Linked DNA regions of Macaca mulatta. The protein of the gene in region 4 interacts with the protein of the main gene of each other region in a pairwise test. Links are inferred from orthologs where the notes say so. Each region holds a gene or a part of one and is shown on either strand. Other genes may lie near its edges.

Region 1 (4,111 bases), on a different chromosome or scaffold from region 4:
GTGGAAAAGAGGCCTGAGCCCCATCCCAGTTTATGCCCCTGCTATCTCCACCCAGGATCCACCAGAAGATATGAAACAGGACCGGGACATTCAGGTGAGTTGGTGGCTAGGGCTTGAGATGGGGAAGTGGGGAGGGGGACATCTGCAGGCACGGAAGGATGTCCATTAGGGCAGGAGGGGAGATATTCACTGGGGCAGGAGGAGGACTTGTCTGTAGGGAGAGGAGGGCTGATGCTTATGCTAGTGCAGAAGGGGTGACCCCCCTCCACCTCATCCCCACCTGCCCCATTCCACAGGCAGTGGCGACCTCCCTCCTGCCGCTGACAGAAGCCAACCTACGCATGTTTCAACGTGCCCAGGACGACCTTATCCCTGCTGTGGACCGGCAGTTTGCCTGCTCCTCCTGCGACCACGTCTGGTGGCGCCGCGTGCCCCAGAGGAAGGAGGTAGTGACCCACAACTTAACCTTGACTGTCCCGAACTCCACTCCTGACTCCCATCCTCAGTGACTGTACCTCTGACCTAAGGATTTCCATCACTGACCTCCAAACTCAGAGCTCAGCCTTCATCTTGATCCCAACCCCTGACCTTAAATGTGAGAAGTCCAATACCTCCTTACCCCAGAGCCTGACCCTTGACCCCACAATTGAACAGCTACTACAGAAATCAAACCTGGCCAGGCGCAGTGGCTCATGGCTGCAATCTCAGTGTTTTGGGAGGCTAAGTGGGGAGGACTGCTTGAACCTAGGAGTTTGAGACCAGCCTGGGTGACAGGGTGAGACCCTGGCTCCAAAAAAATTTTTGTTTTGAAGAGATGGGGTCTCGCCCTGTCGTCCAGGCTGGAGTACAGTGGCGGGATCATATCTCACTGCAGCCTCCACCTCCTGGGCTCAGATGATCCTCCCCACTCAGCCTCCCAAGTAACTGAGACTACAGGCCTGCGCCACCACACTTGGCTAATTTTTGTATTTTGTGTGTGTGTGTGGAGATGGGGTTTTGCCATGTTGCCCAAGCTGGTCTCAAACTCCTGAGCTCAAGCAATCTACCGCCTCAGCCTCCCAAAGTGCTGGGATTACAGGCATGAGCCACTGCGTCTGGCAAAAAAATTTTTTTTAATTAGCTGGGAGTGGCGGTGTGTGCCTGTGGTCCCAACTACTCAGGAGGCTGAGGTGGGAGGATCGTTTGAGCCTAGGAGGTGGAGGCTGCAGTGAGTCATGATCACAACACTGTATTCCAGCCTGGATGACAGAGTGAGACTCTGTCTCTGAAAAAAGAAAGAAAGAAAGAAAAGAAACCAAATCTGACCTCAAAAACACAGCCCCAAATCTGGCCTCTGAATGTCCTGACCAGTAGTTCGCTTCTGGTCAATGCTTAATTAGTTCTTGCAAAAGAGGCAGGAAGCCAAGATGTGTAGTGTTTGCCAATTTCTGTGGTGTAAGTATTCCCACCATGGTCAATATGAGGCTACCCATGTGAAGTCACTGATTGAGTTGGGTTGCTCAAGCTGAGGCCAGCCACTGCAGCACACTTCTAGCCCTGACCCCAACCTCAGACACCTCTGACAATCCTTGGTCCCCTCTCTGCACGCCCCGCCCTACCACCACCAGGTATCCCGGTGCCGGAAATGCCGGAAGCGCTACGAGCCAGTGCCAGCTGACAAGATGTGGGGCCTGGCTGAGTTCCACTGCCCGAAGTGTCGGCACAACTTCCGGTGAGGGCGCTGACCCCCAGCTCCCCCTCAGCCCTGCCCCACCCCAGCCCTGCCCCTCCCTGCCCTGGCCCCACCCTGGCCCAGCCTCGCCCTCGGACCCTCACAGCCCTGCCCGCCCCCAGGGGCTGGGCACAGATGGGGTCCCCGTCCCCCTGCTACGGGTGCGGCTTCCCCGTGTATCCAACACGGATCCTCCCCCCGCGCTGGGACCGGGACCCGGATCGCCGCAGCACCCACACTCACTCCTGCTCGGCCGCCGACTGCTACAACCGGCGAGGTGAGGCTTTTCTCCTCCAACATCCTGGGCAGTCTTTGTCCCCTTCTGTGCCTTTAAGTCCCCAAATCTCCACTCAGTCCACTTCGTCTCCCACAGCAGCAGCCACTGCTTCTACGTGGCCTCCATGGCCCCCCAGTCTCCGTGGTCTTGCCCACGAGGCTCTGAGGTTTCACCCCAGTGGCCCATGCCTGAGGGTCTCCATGGCCTCTGCCCCCATGGTCTCTGGGTTTGGGGCCCCTGTTTTGTCCCCTGTAATCTCAGGTGACCCCCCATGTCCCCAGGTCTCCTGTATCTTCAACACCCCTGAATGTCCAGTTGTGCTGGTCCCCGTATATTGTGGCCTCAGCTCCTCCCTAGAGCCCCTCGTGGCCTCAGCCCCCTCCTGCCCAAACTCTCATGGGACCTGGAGTCCCATGTCTGCAGCACCTCTCCCTCCCTAGAGCCCCACGTGCCTGGGACATCCTGTGCTCACCCCAAGAGCCGGAAGCAGAACCACCTGCCCAAAGTGCTCCACCCCAGCAACCCTCACATTAGCAGTGGCTCCACTGTGGCCACCTGCTTGAGCCAGGGCGGCCTCCTGGAAGACCTGGACAACCTCATCCTGGAGGACCTGAAGGAGGAGGAGGAGGAAGAGGAAGAGGTGGAGGACGAGGAGGGCGGGCCCAGGGAGTGACCCCTGCCAGGTGCAGATACAAACCAGACACGGTCTGTGGCTACTTTGTGTTATTATAAGATATGAGCTCAAACCGAGATATGAATGACCTTGGGGAGCCATCTGGGGCCAAGATATTGACAGGGGGGGATTCCTGGGGCCCATTTTCAGCACCCAGGGTCACAGATCCACAGTGGGAGGTTCTGTGGGACACACTGGCACTGAGCCACAAAGAAGGTGTGGCCAGGACAACTTGAGTTCCTGCTGACCAATGTCCCCTGGGGCCTAGGGGACAGAGGAACAGAGAGTCACAGCTTCAGGGGCCGAATGAGCATGGCGGCCTTCCTGAGAGAGTATGCTCCACCACGAAACTCAGCCCAGTAGACACCATCCTGGTAGCGGCTTCGGTAGTGGCCGCCACGGTGCCACACACCGTTGAGGTTGGAGTGGGCACAGGCATGGTACCACCAGCCTCCCCGCTGGTACAGGGCACAGTTACCTGAGGGGAGAGAGAGAGTCCATGTCCTCTCACCAGAATAAAAGTCTCTACCTGCACCTCACAGTGCAAGGCTTTTGCCAGGTATCCCCTGGCCCCTCCCATTCTTATTTAATACAAGCCCTGATCTTCCATCTCCTCAGCAAAAAAATAGGAGCCCTGGCCCCCCAACTTTCTTCGGAGTAATAGCCTTAATTCCTTCCCTATCTCCTTACCAAAGTACGAGTCACACCTTTCCCACTTTTTCTGCAAATTAGGAGTCTACCACTCATTCCTTTATCAAAGAAAAGAAAATTACCTACTTCCTTTCTAGATAAGAGTACTAGCTCTCACCCTCTGCCCTTCACTTGAACAGGAGTCTTGATTCTTTTTTTGCCTCATCAGAGAAGGAATCTGGACTCCCCATACCCCCACCAGGATAAAAGTCCTGACCTTTGTTCTCTTGACAGAATAAAAGCTTGCTTATCCTACTACTTACCAGAGGGGCGTCTTACCTACCCTACCTCCTTTCATTCCCTCACCAGAACAGGAGTCCCACCTCCCCTATCCTCCCACCAGAATAAGAGTTCTCCTTACCAGAATAAGAGTCTCGGTCCCTATCCACGGTGCTGAAGGGCTTGTCGTTGTGCCAGGAAAGAGAGTCTCCAGCATCACCATGGTACTGGCCAAGCCGCAGGCGGTAGTGGTCGCTCTCAGGTTCCAGGGAGAAGCCATCATAGTGGGCACGTGCTCCACGGCCCCCCCAGTCTTCCAGGAGAACCAGCAGCTCATGGTCCCCACGGCTGGTCAGCTGATACACGGGTTCAAGGCCCAGCCAGTATTCTCCGTCTGGCCGCCCAAAGCCCGCCTGGCAGGGCAGGAAAGTCAGGAAGCCAGAACAGGCTCCCTCCCCTTCCCTGTCTCTGCCCACCTGTGCCCACCTTATAGTGCTGCCAGGTAGTGAAGAAGTTGACTGAACCATCTTGCCTCCGCTGG
Region 2 (4,279 bases), on a different chromosome or scaffold from region 4:
TTGGCTTTGTGACAATGTGCCAAGGCTTGGAGCTTCCCCACCAGGCCCCTCAAAGGAAAAGGTTTCTCTTTCAAGTTTTGGTGGTTTACTCCAGACATTCTATTTGCTGTTCTGTGTGGGGTTCACTTGTTATTACAACTTCTTTTACCAAATTTCCAAGATTGTTGTCTTCAAGATCACCTACACTGGAGATCTGCTATCACTACCACTTGGTTTAGAAACTCTCCTTCTCCATATCAAAGCATCCCAATGCCAGGAACCCTCAAACTCTGACCTGTTTCTCCAATCCATCCTTTCTTGTCCCATGGCTATTGCCCTGGTTTACGTTTCCTTTTTGCCCACCCAGACTGCTGAACCAGCCTACTAATTGATCATGCACGCTGCTGCCAGGATGAACTTTCTAAAATCTAGATCCCATTGGGTTACTTTCCTGGTTTCAAGACTTTTCTTAACGCCTTGCTGTGATCTACACAGTGGATTTCAACTCTCATAAAAAAGGATTGAAATAGGAGAACCCCAAATTTTTTCAGTGAAGTGTTACAAGGAGCCCCAAGATATAAAACAGATAAAGTCTAAGCTGCCCTGGGTAAAGCAAGGACGGAGGCCTCAGAGCCTGCCCTAAAGTCCTCCAGCCCCGCCCCTCTGGGCCCAATGCAGCTCTGGGGGAATCCTGGAGCGCTTCTGGACACAGCTGGGATGCTGCAGCCCAGTGGGAGGACGTCTATGCTTCCTGGCTTGGCATAGCAGGCCCTACAGAATGTGCCCCAGCCCACCTTTCTGGCTTTATCACCTGCCACTTCACTCGCGCACACTCCCCATGCCCCTGCTACACAAATCACACATGACCCCAATGTGCCAGGCATTTGAGGCTCCACACTGCAGCCCAAGCAGCTTCCTCGGCCTGGTGTCTTCCTGCTCATCCCTGTCTCGACAATCCTAATTGTCCTTCCAGGTTTCACTCCAGTATCATCCGTATGGAGCCCTCTCTTATAAAAAATTCGGACAGAGCACACCCCCACTCTCCCCTGGGAATTCTGTTAAGGTGAACTATTTAACCACTTACAACATCTGCTACCTAGAACTGTTTCTCTTAGCAATATCATCTTTTTAATCCTGGCCCAGATTATCAATAAATTTGTGTGACATTACGCAGTGAAGACTCTGTCCTTTATTCCAGTGTCAGCAGAGGTGAGTGAGCCATACACAATTCCCTGAGGAATCCTGAGAATCTTCAGAGGAAGCAAGAAGTCAAAGAGCCCCAAACTGGAAATCTGAGCCCTTGGGTTCTCATTCTGGCTCCATCCCAAACTAAGTCTTTAAATTCAGCTCTACACTGCCATGGTTTTAGTGCTCTTGGCATAATGATAATGATTATTCTAATGGCTAATATTTATAAGGCAGCTACCACATGCAGACAGACACTGCTGTAAGCGTTTTTCATGGATTAACTCATTTTTGCTTTACAGAACAAAGGCTGAAGCATTTACTAGATTGAACCCTTTCTCCAGCTGCATTTGGGACTGAAAGAGACTTTACAGGGATGAGGAAACCAAGACATAGGTGAAATGACTTCTCAGGTGACTCAGCTGGTAGCAGAACTGGCTGGTGGCAGGTCTCCTGGTTTTCAGGTGGGTATACTTTCACCCACATAACACTGTTCTGTGGGAGTAGCCTGGGTATTGACCAGAGCCACACCTGTCCCTGCAAAATGTTTTACAAAGCTTCAACAGAGAGATATGACACTCAGCTATCAGCACAACTCAATACATGTAAAAATATTTCCTAACTTCAAAAGTTAAATGATTCCATTCAAATTTGGTTTACTTTTGAAATTACCATCTAGTAAGGGCTATATTCACATAAAATAATTTATTTAATGGGATACAAATGGTGCCAATAAAATCTAGGGTAGAAAACTTCTTATCCCCAGCTATAGACATGCTGGTGAGATCCTAATCAGGCAGAGTGGCTCCTTCCACTGTAGTTAAGGCTGCTACCACATGGCTTTAAGGACATGGTGTCCATGACCTTCTGCTGTATATCAGATCATAATTTTCCTAAAAGCATGGCTCAATTTATAGTGCATTCCCCAAGAGGCAGGCAGCACGCTATCATGGAAAGAGAAGTAAATCTGAAGTCAAAACTCCTGCCATTGACCAAGTGACTCTGGGGAAATCAGTTAATATGGCCAAGTCTTAGATTTGTCCAGTGGAAAATATTGTCAAGGCTATTGGTCCTTCCTAGCTGGGGTTGCTGTGATGCTTCAAGGAGACGTGAATGAAGAGGATTGGTGTGGGTAAATACTCATTTTTCTTCTTTAAGGAATGGTCATACTTGGAGAATGCTATCCAGAACTGTTTCCTCATTGCAACCCTGCCTTAGTCTCTTCTGGATGCTATTAACAAAATACCGCAGATTTGGTGGCATATAAATGAATGAAATTTATTTCTCACCATTTTGAAGGCTAAGAAGCCAAAGATCAAGACATCAGATTTGGTGTCTGGTGAGGATCATCTCCCTGGTTCAGAGATGGCCATCTTTTCACTGTGTCCTCACATGACAGAAGGGATGAGGGAGTTCTCTGGGACTCCTTTTATAAGGGCACTAATCCCACTGATGAGGGCTCCACCTGTATGACCTAATCACCTCCCAAAGGTCCCACCTCCTAATACCATCACCTTAAGGGTTAGAATTTTAACTTAAGAATTTGGGGGAAACACAAACCTTCAGACCATAGCAACCCCAGGGAAGGGAAGTGACTTAGCCAGGATCCACAGTATGATGTGAACATGACAGAGCTTGGAGTCACCCCTTTCTAGCACTCTATCCTTTACTTAAACTATTTTAAGATTACATTAATTGCATTATTTCCTTAAGCTAGAAATCTGCAGAAATATTTGTAAATTCATATATTACTTTAAGTCTTAACACTTTGTTTTTGAGACAAAGTCTCACTCTGTTGCCCAGACTGGGGTGCAGTGACATAATCATGGCTCACTGCAGCCTCAAATTCCTGGACTCAAGCAATCCTTCCACCTCAGCCTCCGGAATAGCTGGGACTACAAATGCACACACATGTTTAGCTAATTTTTAAAATGTTTATATAGAGGCAGAGTCTCTCTATGTTGCCCAGACTGGTCTAAGTCCTGGGCTCAAGGGATCCTCCTGCCTTGCCTTCCCCACATGCTAGGATTACAGGCATGAACCACCACCCAACCCAATTCTTAAAACTTTTAACTGACGCTTAGCATGGCACCAAAATGATATTTATTGAATGTATTCTGGTGCCAACCTCTGGATGCATCATTTCGTCTGATCCTCACAACAGTCCTGCAATGCTGGTAAGATGAGCCCGGCTTCCCACTCCATCTTGCTGGAACTGGAGGTCATGGAAACTTAAGGGATTTGCCCAAGAGCCCATGAGTGAAGAGTGGTAGAGGAGATTCAAATTCTTTTTCTCTACCAGATCCAGTGTTTTTCCCATTAGCCAAGGGTGCCTCAACAAGGAACAAGAATCCCACAAAATTCGAGGAAAAGGGGGAAAAATGTGATTTCAACATGGTGTTCACTGATGCTATTTCAGAAATGTGCACGCAGCATTCATATTTTGACAAAAGCAGTAATTACCATATTAGAAAATAGAGTCGTTGTCTTCCTTTTCTAAAAATCTTTAAAAGTTAACATTAAAGCATACTTTGGGCTTGCTAATTTAAAACGGCAAATGGATGGTGTCGCATATTAATGTGCGTCCACAGCCGCTCTATTTGACCATGTTGCAGAGGTACACACGTGCAGGACGGTGGTTCTGCAGCTGAGGTTATCTCCTCCCTGAAACTGCACCTTGGCCCTTCTCCCCACCCTTTTTATTCTGAGGGTGACGCCTTCACCCGGGCTCTCTTAAAATCCTGCTGTTTGTGTGCAAATGCGAGTTCAAATTTCTCCCTGAAACACTGGTGGGGGGACACTATGCACCCTCATCTTTAAATATCATCCTGATTTCCCACATATTCCCTCCTCCAACCTGCAACCCCTTTCTCCCCCACCCGACCCCCACCACCCCCATCTCCAGCCTCCTGTCCTTCCCATTCCAGGTGCTCCGAGTGCTAGCAAAACTGGGGTGGGCGGCGCCGGGCAAGGGCTGAAGACTGCGGGGACCCAGCTGCCAGGCGCATTGTGAAGTGGCCGGAGCGTCACAGGCGACCCCGACTTCGGGACCGGGGGGCGGGGCGGGTGTCTGCAGCGTCCTCTGGAGGTCTCAGACCCCTTGCGCAGACTCTGC
Region 3 (3,519 bases), on a different chromosome or scaffold from region 4:
GTGGAAGGCAGGTGGGGGACAACACAAACACAAATTTGCCCCTTCTGTTTCCACACCTGATGACATCAATATCATGACACTGCCCAGGCCTTGCCCCAGGCCCCACCCTTGCCCACTCACTCCTGCAGGATCTTGCTGTCGGTGGTCTGGGGGTAGCCGAAGTCCATGAGCTCATCCAGCAGCTCGTAGATGATGACAAAGTTGTCCCGGATGCTCTCCTCCTCCAGCTCCTTGAAGTACTCGGAAAACACCTGTGGCGGTGAGGGAGGGAGGGAGGGAGGGACGAGAGGCAGATCGTTGAGCAGACAGATGAGGAATGAATGAACGCTTGCACACATTCATTTGCCCACTAAGTCCTACCAACAGCCCACTTCCCAGGCTCAGTGGCGTGCTACAGGCCCTGGACCCAGGTAATGGGGCAGGAGGACAGCAGTGGTTGGCTGTGGGGTGGGACCAGTCTGGAGCTGCTACAGATGTCCCCGTTCTCTTCCCTGCCCAGACACCCCCAGGCAGGGAGCCCCTCCTGAGCAACTGTAACTGTCATCCCTTCCTGAGTCTGGAGTGACTCAGGCGAGGACCTGATGAGCTACCATCTTCCCCATTTCAATGGAAAGCTCAGAAGGTTAAGGAAGGGACGCCAAAGAAGAGGGGCTGTTAGAAGCACTTTTGCAGGCACGAATGCTGAAGGAAGGGGCGTCACTAAAGCAGAAAGGAACTGCCCAACCCTTGGGTGAGGACCTTCCCCTTCCCTCATCCCCCATCCTCTGATCTGCTGACCCCATGCGCTTTAGGACTGTGATCGCCCGGCCCCTGCTTGGAAATCACAGGTGTCATAGCCAGGCCCAGCCCTGCCTGTGACAGCACCACGGGTCCAGTGAAGCAGCCCTTGGCCTGCACGCGGGGCCTTCCCAGATGACCCTCAGCTCCTTCCCCAAGCCCTCACCGCCCAGGCTTGCCCCTGTTCCCCAACATTCTGCACAGGCGGCATCAGTGAGGGATGAAAGCTTTCCCAGGCCCAGCACAGGCCTCCTGGGTCCTATTCCCCACTTTCTTGAGCCCCAGAGCCCGCCCCGGCCAGGCTCATCCTCTCCAGGAAGCCAGCAGCAGCCTCCTCACTGGCTTCCAGGCTGCCTTCAAGTCCTCCTTCTGCTCAGCAGCCAGAGAGGCTGCTTTAGATCAAACCATGTCTCGTCAGTCTCCTGCTTAAAGCCCTCCACCACCTTTCATCAGAAGTGGAACAAAATCCACACTCCTGTATAACCTGCCCTCTTCCCAGCTGACCTCAGCTTTATACTCTGCCAAAGGCATGCCGGCCTCCCTGGCCGCACCACACACACACCTGTCCCAGGACCTTTGCCCTGGCTGCTGTCTGCATCTCACTGGCAGCCTGGGCCTGGCGTGTCAGCTCTCTCCAAGGTGGGCCTCGGGCATCTGTGCCTTGAGAGCCCCCTGGGACATTCTAAGCTGGCTCAGCTCTGCAGCTCTGCTGGTTATTCCAGCCCCATCAGCTGGTCACCCCATATCCTTCCAAAGCTGGCTGGGGGACTTGCTTGTCCCTTCCAGGGTCAGGGCACCACTGCTCAGCCCCACCTTTTCCTGTTCACTTTCCTTTCTTCCCCGGGGTCAGGGAGCAACACGAGCTACAGAATTCCACAGGCATGGTGGCGGGGTTTGGGGCTCCCCTTTGCCACTTCCTGGGGTTCCAGCCCCAGCACTCTCTAGGGAGGCCACGGCTGTCTCTAAGGTGGCCGGGTATGGGGAGATCCACAAGCAGAGCCAAGACAGCTGCCACTCAAGCCCACAGCCCCGCTGAGCGAGACTCACCTGCACCACCTTATAGAGGAAGGAGAAGACCAGCGACACGCACGCATTCTTCTTGGATGTGGCAACCACTGCACGGTGGTCACAGTTAAGGAGCATTCAGAGGCTGGGGCTGCTGCCTGGAAGATCCCGGTTCATGGAGGGACCCTCTAACCCTCACAACCCTCAGAGCCTTCCCTACCCCCACTCCCAGCCGTTTACCTGGCCCATGGTCGGCTACCAAGCTCCTGGTCCAAGCTACACCTGGGACACAGGAGTCACCAGAAGGACATGCTCCCAGGCCCCAGGGAGCACTCACCGACATAGAGAATCACAGGGATGGCAGGTGGCACAGGGCACCTGTCCCAGTGGCTGGGTGAGGAGTTGCCCTGAGCAGGGAGGGAGTGAGGCTCATTCGAGGAGCAGAAAGCAGGACACACTGGCCCTGCTCCTCCAAAGCCGACACCTCGTCATGACCCTGATGAGGTCCAGGGTCCCCTGGCCAGACTCTGCGGCAAGTAGCCAGGGCCAATTCTGGCTTCAGCCCTTCCTGTCTTTGGTAACACAAGCCTTGGCCCATGAAATAAACCTTTCTAGAGAAACCTCAATATTTCTCTCCTGTGTAATGGGGGCCTGTGAATGAACTCACCAAGGCAATGTACGTGAGATGTCTGGCACAGATGCTCCCTTCTGCCACGGGAGCCAGCCCCTGCCGCCCAGGGTCAGTGTGTGCTGGGCGCTTCCTGTTCCTTTTTCCCTAATGGGCCCCCAGAGAAGGCTGGTTCTTCCTCTGTAGGCCCACGCACTGCACCCCGGACATCCCTGTTCACAGCATGTCTGTGCCGCCTGGCTTGTCTGCCCAGAGGTGAGCTCTAGGAGGGAGGGCGGGGGCTGCATCCTCTCTTCCCGCCTCACCCCAGCACAGCACAGGGCCCCAGGAAAGGGACGCTGGCCCAGTCAAACGAGCGCTGGCCTCCCTCCTGCTGCCTGGCAATGTGCCCTCCCCAGATGCTTTATAAGCAGGGGCAGGGGTGCCTCTCAGCTTCATGGGTGCCATTCAGCCACGGCCTTGCTGAGAACTGTCCCGGCTGGGGGTGAAAGGATGTCCACTCAGCCAGAGGGGTGAGCCCAGGTGTGAAATGTGGGGGCCCAACCAGAAACTGATCTGACGGCTCCTGCTGAGCTCGGACCACAGCCACCTCACCCTCCTGTCAATACCTGGGCGGCTTCAGAGGACTGTCAGCTCCCTGGGTTAAAAGCCACCTAAGATCATCTTCAGAGCTATTCTCAGGGCCTTCCAGAACCAGGTGAAATACACACAGAGGCGCACCACAGGGAGCCGTGGACCAGCACGGCCCACATGGGAATGTGCACACGAGTCACCAGGAACAGATCTTCCTACAATGCAGATTCTGACAGGGCAGGGCTGGGTGGAGCCCGGGATTCTGCATTTCCAAAGGGCTCCCAGGGGATGTTCTGGCCCATTGGCCACACTGTACTACTGGCAAGGCCCCAAGTGTCTCCAAGAACACAGGAAAGGGCAGAGAGCCCATGCTGCTGGGAGCAATGTGCACAAGTCAGCTCAACTGACCCGAATGGTCCTGCAGCGAGGGGTCGTTGTTCCCACCAAACTGTGGGAAGGTGAGGGATTCGCCTCCAGCCCCATGGCTGCTGGAGCTGGGGCTCAAACCAGGCTGTGGCTGCAAAGCAGGCCCTTCC
Region 4 (2,603 bases):
CCTTTGCCTTAAGAAAAACCATGAAGAGGTGAGGAAAGCGGCAACGCCACTGAAGGACTCCGAGAGTAACGTACTTAACACTGACAGATGATCTGTTGATGTTTGTAAATCAAATTTGGGCAGATGTTGCTTAAGCTGGAATAAAACTACTCCAGGCAGGGCCAAGCGTGGTGGCTCATGCCTGTAATCCGAGCACTTTGGGAGGCCGAGGCAGGTAGATCACAAGGTCAGGAGTTCGAGACCAGCCTGGCCAATATGATGAAACCCCATCTCTACTAAAAATACAAAAATTAGCTGGGCATGGTGGCGGGTACCTGTAGTCCCAGCTACTCGGGAGGCTGAGGCAGGAGAATAGCTTGAACCCAGGAGGCGGAGGTTGCAGTGAGCCGAGATCTCGCCACTGCACTCCAACCTGGGCAACAGAGCAAGACTCCATCTCAAAAAACAAACAAACAAAAAAGCGGAAAAACTACTCGAGGCATTATTACTATTCAACCTGATCATTCCAGCGTGTCTCTGAATTAACATGTGAAATAGCCCCTAGACAGTGCCAGACAAAGGAACCAAACTCTTCTCCTGCCCTTGCCTTTGTGGAGGAGGTGAGTAACTTCACAAATGGCTTCCTTTGGAGGCTTTATGCCACCCCTAGCTCCAATCCACAGGGTATGAAAATCAGTCTGAGAAACAGACTATGAAGTCCGTTTCAAAAAAGGGATAAGGACTCATGCACTATCTGGACCAGTGTTTTTAAATATTCCGCATTTATAAACTTTTAAAAGTCATAAAATATAAAGTGATTAATACAGTGATAAAGCTAGAAAATGAAAAGCTGAATGATGTAACAAAGTACGTTTGCTCTTTGAATATTTGTTGATGACAATCATAGCTAACATTTATTGACACCTTACTATGTGTCATAATTAACTTTTATAAGTTAATTATGTGTAGATTAACTCTTCTAGATCTCACAATAACCTTCTGGAAAAATGTCCGATTATTATGTCCATTTTACAGACGAAGAAATTGAGGCCCTTCTAAGTGGTGAAAAGAGATTCAGCCCAGACAACCTGAATCAAAATCTCACACTTTTACCTACTACTCCACAAAACAGAAGTAGAATGCCATTGGATGTCAAATGGATTTTTCCCCATCATTCTGTGACATCTTTATGCCATCCCACTTTCAGGAAGTCAACTTGCTTCGTGGACAGCTTGGCGACCGCCTCAGTGTGGAGCTGGACACTGCCCCCACCCTTGACCTCAACAGGGTCCTGGATGAGATGCGCTGTCAGTATGAAACGGTGCTTGCCAACAATCGCAGAGAAGCCGAAGAATGGTTTGCTGTTCAGGTCAGCACCCAGATCGAAAAAATGGCAAGGTTACAGACTTCCGCCTTTTGTGAATTCTCTAATGGTGCCTGTGTTTCAGACAGAAGAGCTGAATCAGCAGCAACTGTCCAGTGCGGAGCAGCTGCAGGGCTGCCAGACGGAGATCTTGGAATTGAAACGCACAGCCAATGCTCTGGAAATTGAGCTCCAAGCACAGCAAAGCCTGGTGCGTGAGGCAAAGGCAGTGTCCGTTATGTCACTGATAAGTCAGGCTCTGAGATGTTAAGCCCTCTTCCATATCCAGGGATCACATTTCCTTGCCTTTCCCAAGTACTGCCGTTTACCCAGTATTAATAGAAGCAGAAGTGACAGGTCCACAGCTTGTGTTGTCCCTCTAAGATGCCTTACCTTCACTCCTGGGCTTGAGTCTGATGCTGCAGCAGCCTCCAGAGACAGGGAGGGAGAAGCAGAGCGAGAGAAACCTCCAGGCCATGGTCACTTAAGCATTCCAGCAGGTTTTAATTCTCATTTGATTCAGGCCAGTTTTCCAGGCTCACTGTTATATCTAAAACAAAGAATCATTTTCAAACATTTCATCCTACAGTTTCCCTACAGGATCTACACTTCAACCTGATCCTTCACTGTACCCCACCCCACTCAAGCAACAAGAACACCATGCGTCCAAGATGACATGAACCAGTTCTGGTCAAGCACCACTGTGTGCATGTCATTAGATCCTGCGGAGAATACCTAGGAGAACAATAGCTGAGCATTCATCCAGTGAGAGGCACTATGCTCATTTAAGCCTCACAGTAACTTCACGGGATAGATACCTTTATCCCATGACACAGATAAGGAAAACTGAGACTCAGATTAAGTAACCTGCAAAGGATGCAATTCTAAGAGGCAAACTTGGAAGCTGAGTTCAGCCAGTTGAATCCCAGAGCCTCTTCTCTCTCTCTTTTTAAATTTATTTTTATTGATATACAATATTTGTAAATATTTATGGAGTAGATGTGCTATTTTGTAACATGCATAGAATGTGTAACGATCAAGTCAGGATATTTACAGCATCCATCACCTCAAGTATTTATCATTTCTACGTGTTGGGAGCATTTCAAGCCCACTCTTCTAGCTATTTTGAAATGCACAGTGTATTGTTGTTAACTGTAGTCACCCTTCTCTGCTGTCCAACATGAAAACGTATTCCTTCTGTCTAGCTGTATGTTTGCACCCATTAACCAACCTCTCTTCATCCCCTTACCACACACATGCC
Region 5 (2,480 bases), on a different chromosome or scaffold from region 4:
AGCGATGGTGTCCAAAACCCTCGCAGTGCCGAGCTTGGCGACGCAGGTATCGGCCGATGCTCAGAGGAGATGACACAGGGCTTCGGGAAGTGCAGGAATCAGGCAACAATGTCAGAATAACTCAGTGACTCCAGAGACGCAAGGCGCGAATCTGCAGAATGTATTTCCTGATTCGTGAACCCTGCCCCCAACACCTCTGCCCCCTTTGAATTCAGAGTGTGAGGGAGCTTCTAAAATTACATACTGTGCAGAAGGCAAGCCTGTGGCCTGGGAGTCAGGGACCAGGGGAAACGTGGGAAGGGAATGAAGGATGCTGCCACGGGGGTTGTGGTCGGGAAGGGTGTGGGCCAGACCCCAGGGACACTGAGCTGTTAAGGACCCACCTCCGACCACCTGCCAATGTTGACTTGTGATGCTTTTCAGGAAGAAAGAAAGGTCCCACCTCCAATACCAAAGAAGCCCCCCAAAGGGAAATTTCCCATCACAAGAGAAAAATCCCTGGACCTGCCCGACAGACAACGTCAGGAAGCCCGGAGACGACTCATGGCCGCCAAGCGAGCGGCGTCCTTCCGGCAGAATTCTGCCACCGAGCGCGCGGACAGCATCGAGATCTACATCCCCGAGGCCCAGACCCGGCTCTGAGGATGGAGGCCGGCCACCTTCCCCTTGGTTGTTCCTGCTTTTTCACAAAACGCTTGTACAGTTTGTTGCCTCCCTGGTGGTTTCTGTCATTTCTTCCACTGAACACGCCCTTGCTCTCATGCTCCTTGTACCGTGAACACAGTGGAATGCGGTCAGTGGCCTCAGAGTCCACGGAGCTCGTGGCGAGGACGACTTTTGTTTGTTTTTTTTTAACTGGTGGCCTGGCTCACACTCGGCTCTGAGGGACAGGCGTGGTGAGACCTGACTTCTCCTCCGTGTTCTCAGAGGACGGCGAGAAATGCCTCTGGAGCTGGAACCCAGCTTACATTTTGTTATTTCTATTTTTATAAATTGTGTGATAATTAGAGGTAAGAATAACAAATAACTATAAATGGGTGCATCTCACCACCCCCTAGAGGCATTAGACACCCAAGTGGAAGGTGCTACAACCTGAAGTGCAGGAAGAAAGGCCCATTCCCCTCGCACACCCGAGCTTTTGCTCCCTGAGCACAGGCAGCCCATCCACCCGCTCCGCTCTCCTGCTCCTGTTTGTCACAGGCAGAAAACATTAGGCTCCTTGTGTCCAGCTTACTGTGAGGGAAAGTTCTCTCTCCAGCCACCAAACTCCCCACCATACAGTTCTCCAGCATCCCAGGGGATGACAAATCTGAACCCACTAAAATACCCAGCACAGCATCTACACGTTGAAAAGATAAGCCGAGTGTTCCCACGAGGAGGTCACAGGCAGAGAGAGGAGAGTCTTACGGAGGGCTGGGAGCATAAAGGGGAAACAATGTCCTTACTTCTATGAAATAGTTATTGTATTTTTTATTTCTTTGTAACTTAAAATACGACACCCAGTATTTTCTTTAAGTTTCACCATTTACGCTACATGTGATTTTTTTAATGTATGTATATATATTCTCAAATTGTTCTATCAGCTGACTTTCCAGGGTATCCTTAAAAAAAAAAACCACGAAAAAAAAAAAACACAAAAAGTTTGCTTGTTTAAAATGACAATTGTGATGTTGTAAAAAGTTTCAGAAATATGAATGTGAGTGGTAAGTATATCTCAGTTTAAATGGTAAAGAAGAAATGTAGTTTACATTTGTATTTTTCCAGAATTATTTTGTCCAATGCAGTATTGCTTAAGTCAAGAATATATTCCTTGCCTGTGTTAGACCTGAAGGGAAAAAGAGGTCACATATTGTGATTTCCAGCTGTGGAATTCAAAAAAAAAAAAAAAATTAGTGTTCATGACTCTGTGGTCGGTGCCAGAGGAAAATAGGAACGACTAATAGGCTCTCCGTGTGTATCATTAAATTCAGCTGCCATGACCGTTGTTCCAACACGACTTGTTTCACAGTTCAGACCAGTCTTCGAAGGAAAAGCCTATCAGATTTTCCCACTGGGTTCCAGTTTCAGAGTCCTCGTTATTACTCAGAGTAAAAGCAGGACTGCGATGTAAGATGTTTCCACCCCAGTACCTGGTCTTCCTTCCCGGCTTAAGGAGTACCATGTACTTAGCCACAGGCAGAACCGCTTTCGAGGACGACCCATAGCACTTTGTTTCTTCACCTTGATTTGCACTTTACAGCGTCCCCGGCCCCTCTGCAGCCCGTGGCTGGCAGGGCGTTCGAGGCGCAGCTGTCCGGCAGAGCGCCCTCCAGAGCCGCGGGGTCTCCCTGCCTCATTCGCCACATCCCACGGAGCATGGGACCATTGGGAGCAGAGCTGATACTAAAGCATGTTTAGCTTCGAAGTTTTACTTTTTTAAAGCTGAGTAGTTAAGAATTCCCTGTAACAACAAAACCCTGTAAATTAAGCCTCGTATCTGG

What was found.
Region 1: the proteins of KRT40 (region 4) and SHFL interact in binary tests that used the Homo sapiens proteins (3 or more experiments, as listed by UniProt). The two-hybrid records come from large-scale screens. The link is inferred for Macaca mulatta from reciprocal best matches to the Homo sapiens genes KRT40 and SHFL.
Region 2: the proteins of KRT40 (region 4) and CCDC185 interact in binary tests that used the Homo sapiens proteins (3 or more experiments, as listed by UniProt). The two-hybrid records come from large-scale screens. The link is inferred for Macaca mulatta from reciprocal best matches to the Homo sapiens genes KRT40 and CCDC185.
Region 3: the proteins of KRT40 (region 4) and AP1M1 interact in binary tests that used the Homo sapiens proteins (3 or more experiments, as listed by UniProt). The two-hybrid records come from large-scale screens. The link is inferred for Macaca mulatta from reciprocal best matches to the Homo sapiens genes KRT40 and AP1M1.
Region 5: the proteins of KRT40 (region 4) and DLGAP2 interact in a two-hybrid assay, tested with the Homo sapiens proteins (2 studies listed by BioGRID). The link is inferred for Macaca mulatta from reciprocal best matches to the Homo sapiens genes KRT40 and DLGAP2.

What each region holds. Positions count from the first base shown.
Region 1 is NC_133424.1:10,799,931-10,804,041, forward strand, and holds the end of SHFL (shiftless antiviral inhibitor of ribosomal frameshifting protein), read left to right. Parts: intron 1-55; coding exon 56-94; intron 95-296; coding exon 297-446; intron 447-1,607; coding exon 1,608-1,711; intron 1,712-1,817; coding exon of another isoform or gene 1,818-1,833; coding exon 1,834-1,988; intron 1,989-2,428; coding exon 2,429-2,661; 3' UTR 2,662-2,948; coding exon of another isoform or gene 2,949-3,139; 3' UTR 3,140-3,609; downstream 3,610-4,111. Other genes in the region: ANGPTL6 (angiopoietin-related protein 6), read right to left, coding at 2,949-3,139, 3,713-3,983, 4,057-4,111.
Region 2 is NC_133406.1:81,268,376-81,272,654, forward strand, and holds the start of CCDC185 (coiled-coil domain-containing protein 185), read left to right. Parts: upstream 1-1,466; 5' UTR 1,467-1,628; intron 1,629-4,091; 5' UTR 4,092-4,279.
Region 3 is NC_133424.1:16,685,886-16,689,404, reverse strand, and holds part of AP1M1 (AP-1 complex subunit mu-1), read right to left. Parts: intron 2,632-3,519; exon of another isoform or gene 2,120-2,631; intron 1,941-2,119; exon of another isoform or gene 1,921-1,940; coding exon of another isoform or gene 1,893-1,920; coding exon 1,825-1,892; intron 252-1,824; coding exon 121-251; intron 1-120. UniProt on the Homo sapiens protein: Subunit of clathrin-associated adaptor protein complex 1 that plays a role in protein sorting in the trans-Golgi network (TGN) and endosomes.
Region 4 is NC_133421.1:65,362,785-65,365,387, reverse strand, and holds part of KRT40 (keratin, type I cytoskeletal 40), read left to right. Parts: coding exon 1-28; intron 29-1,186; coding exon 1,187-1,348; intron 1,349-1,427; coding exon 1,428-1,553; intron 1,554-2,603. UniProt on the Homo sapiens protein: May play a role in late hair differentiation.
Region 5 is NC_133413.1:2,258,766-2,261,245, forward strand, and holds the end of DLGAP2 (disks large-associated protein 2), read left to right. Parts: intron 1-423; coding exon 424-642; 3' UTR 643-1,980; downstream 1,981-2,480.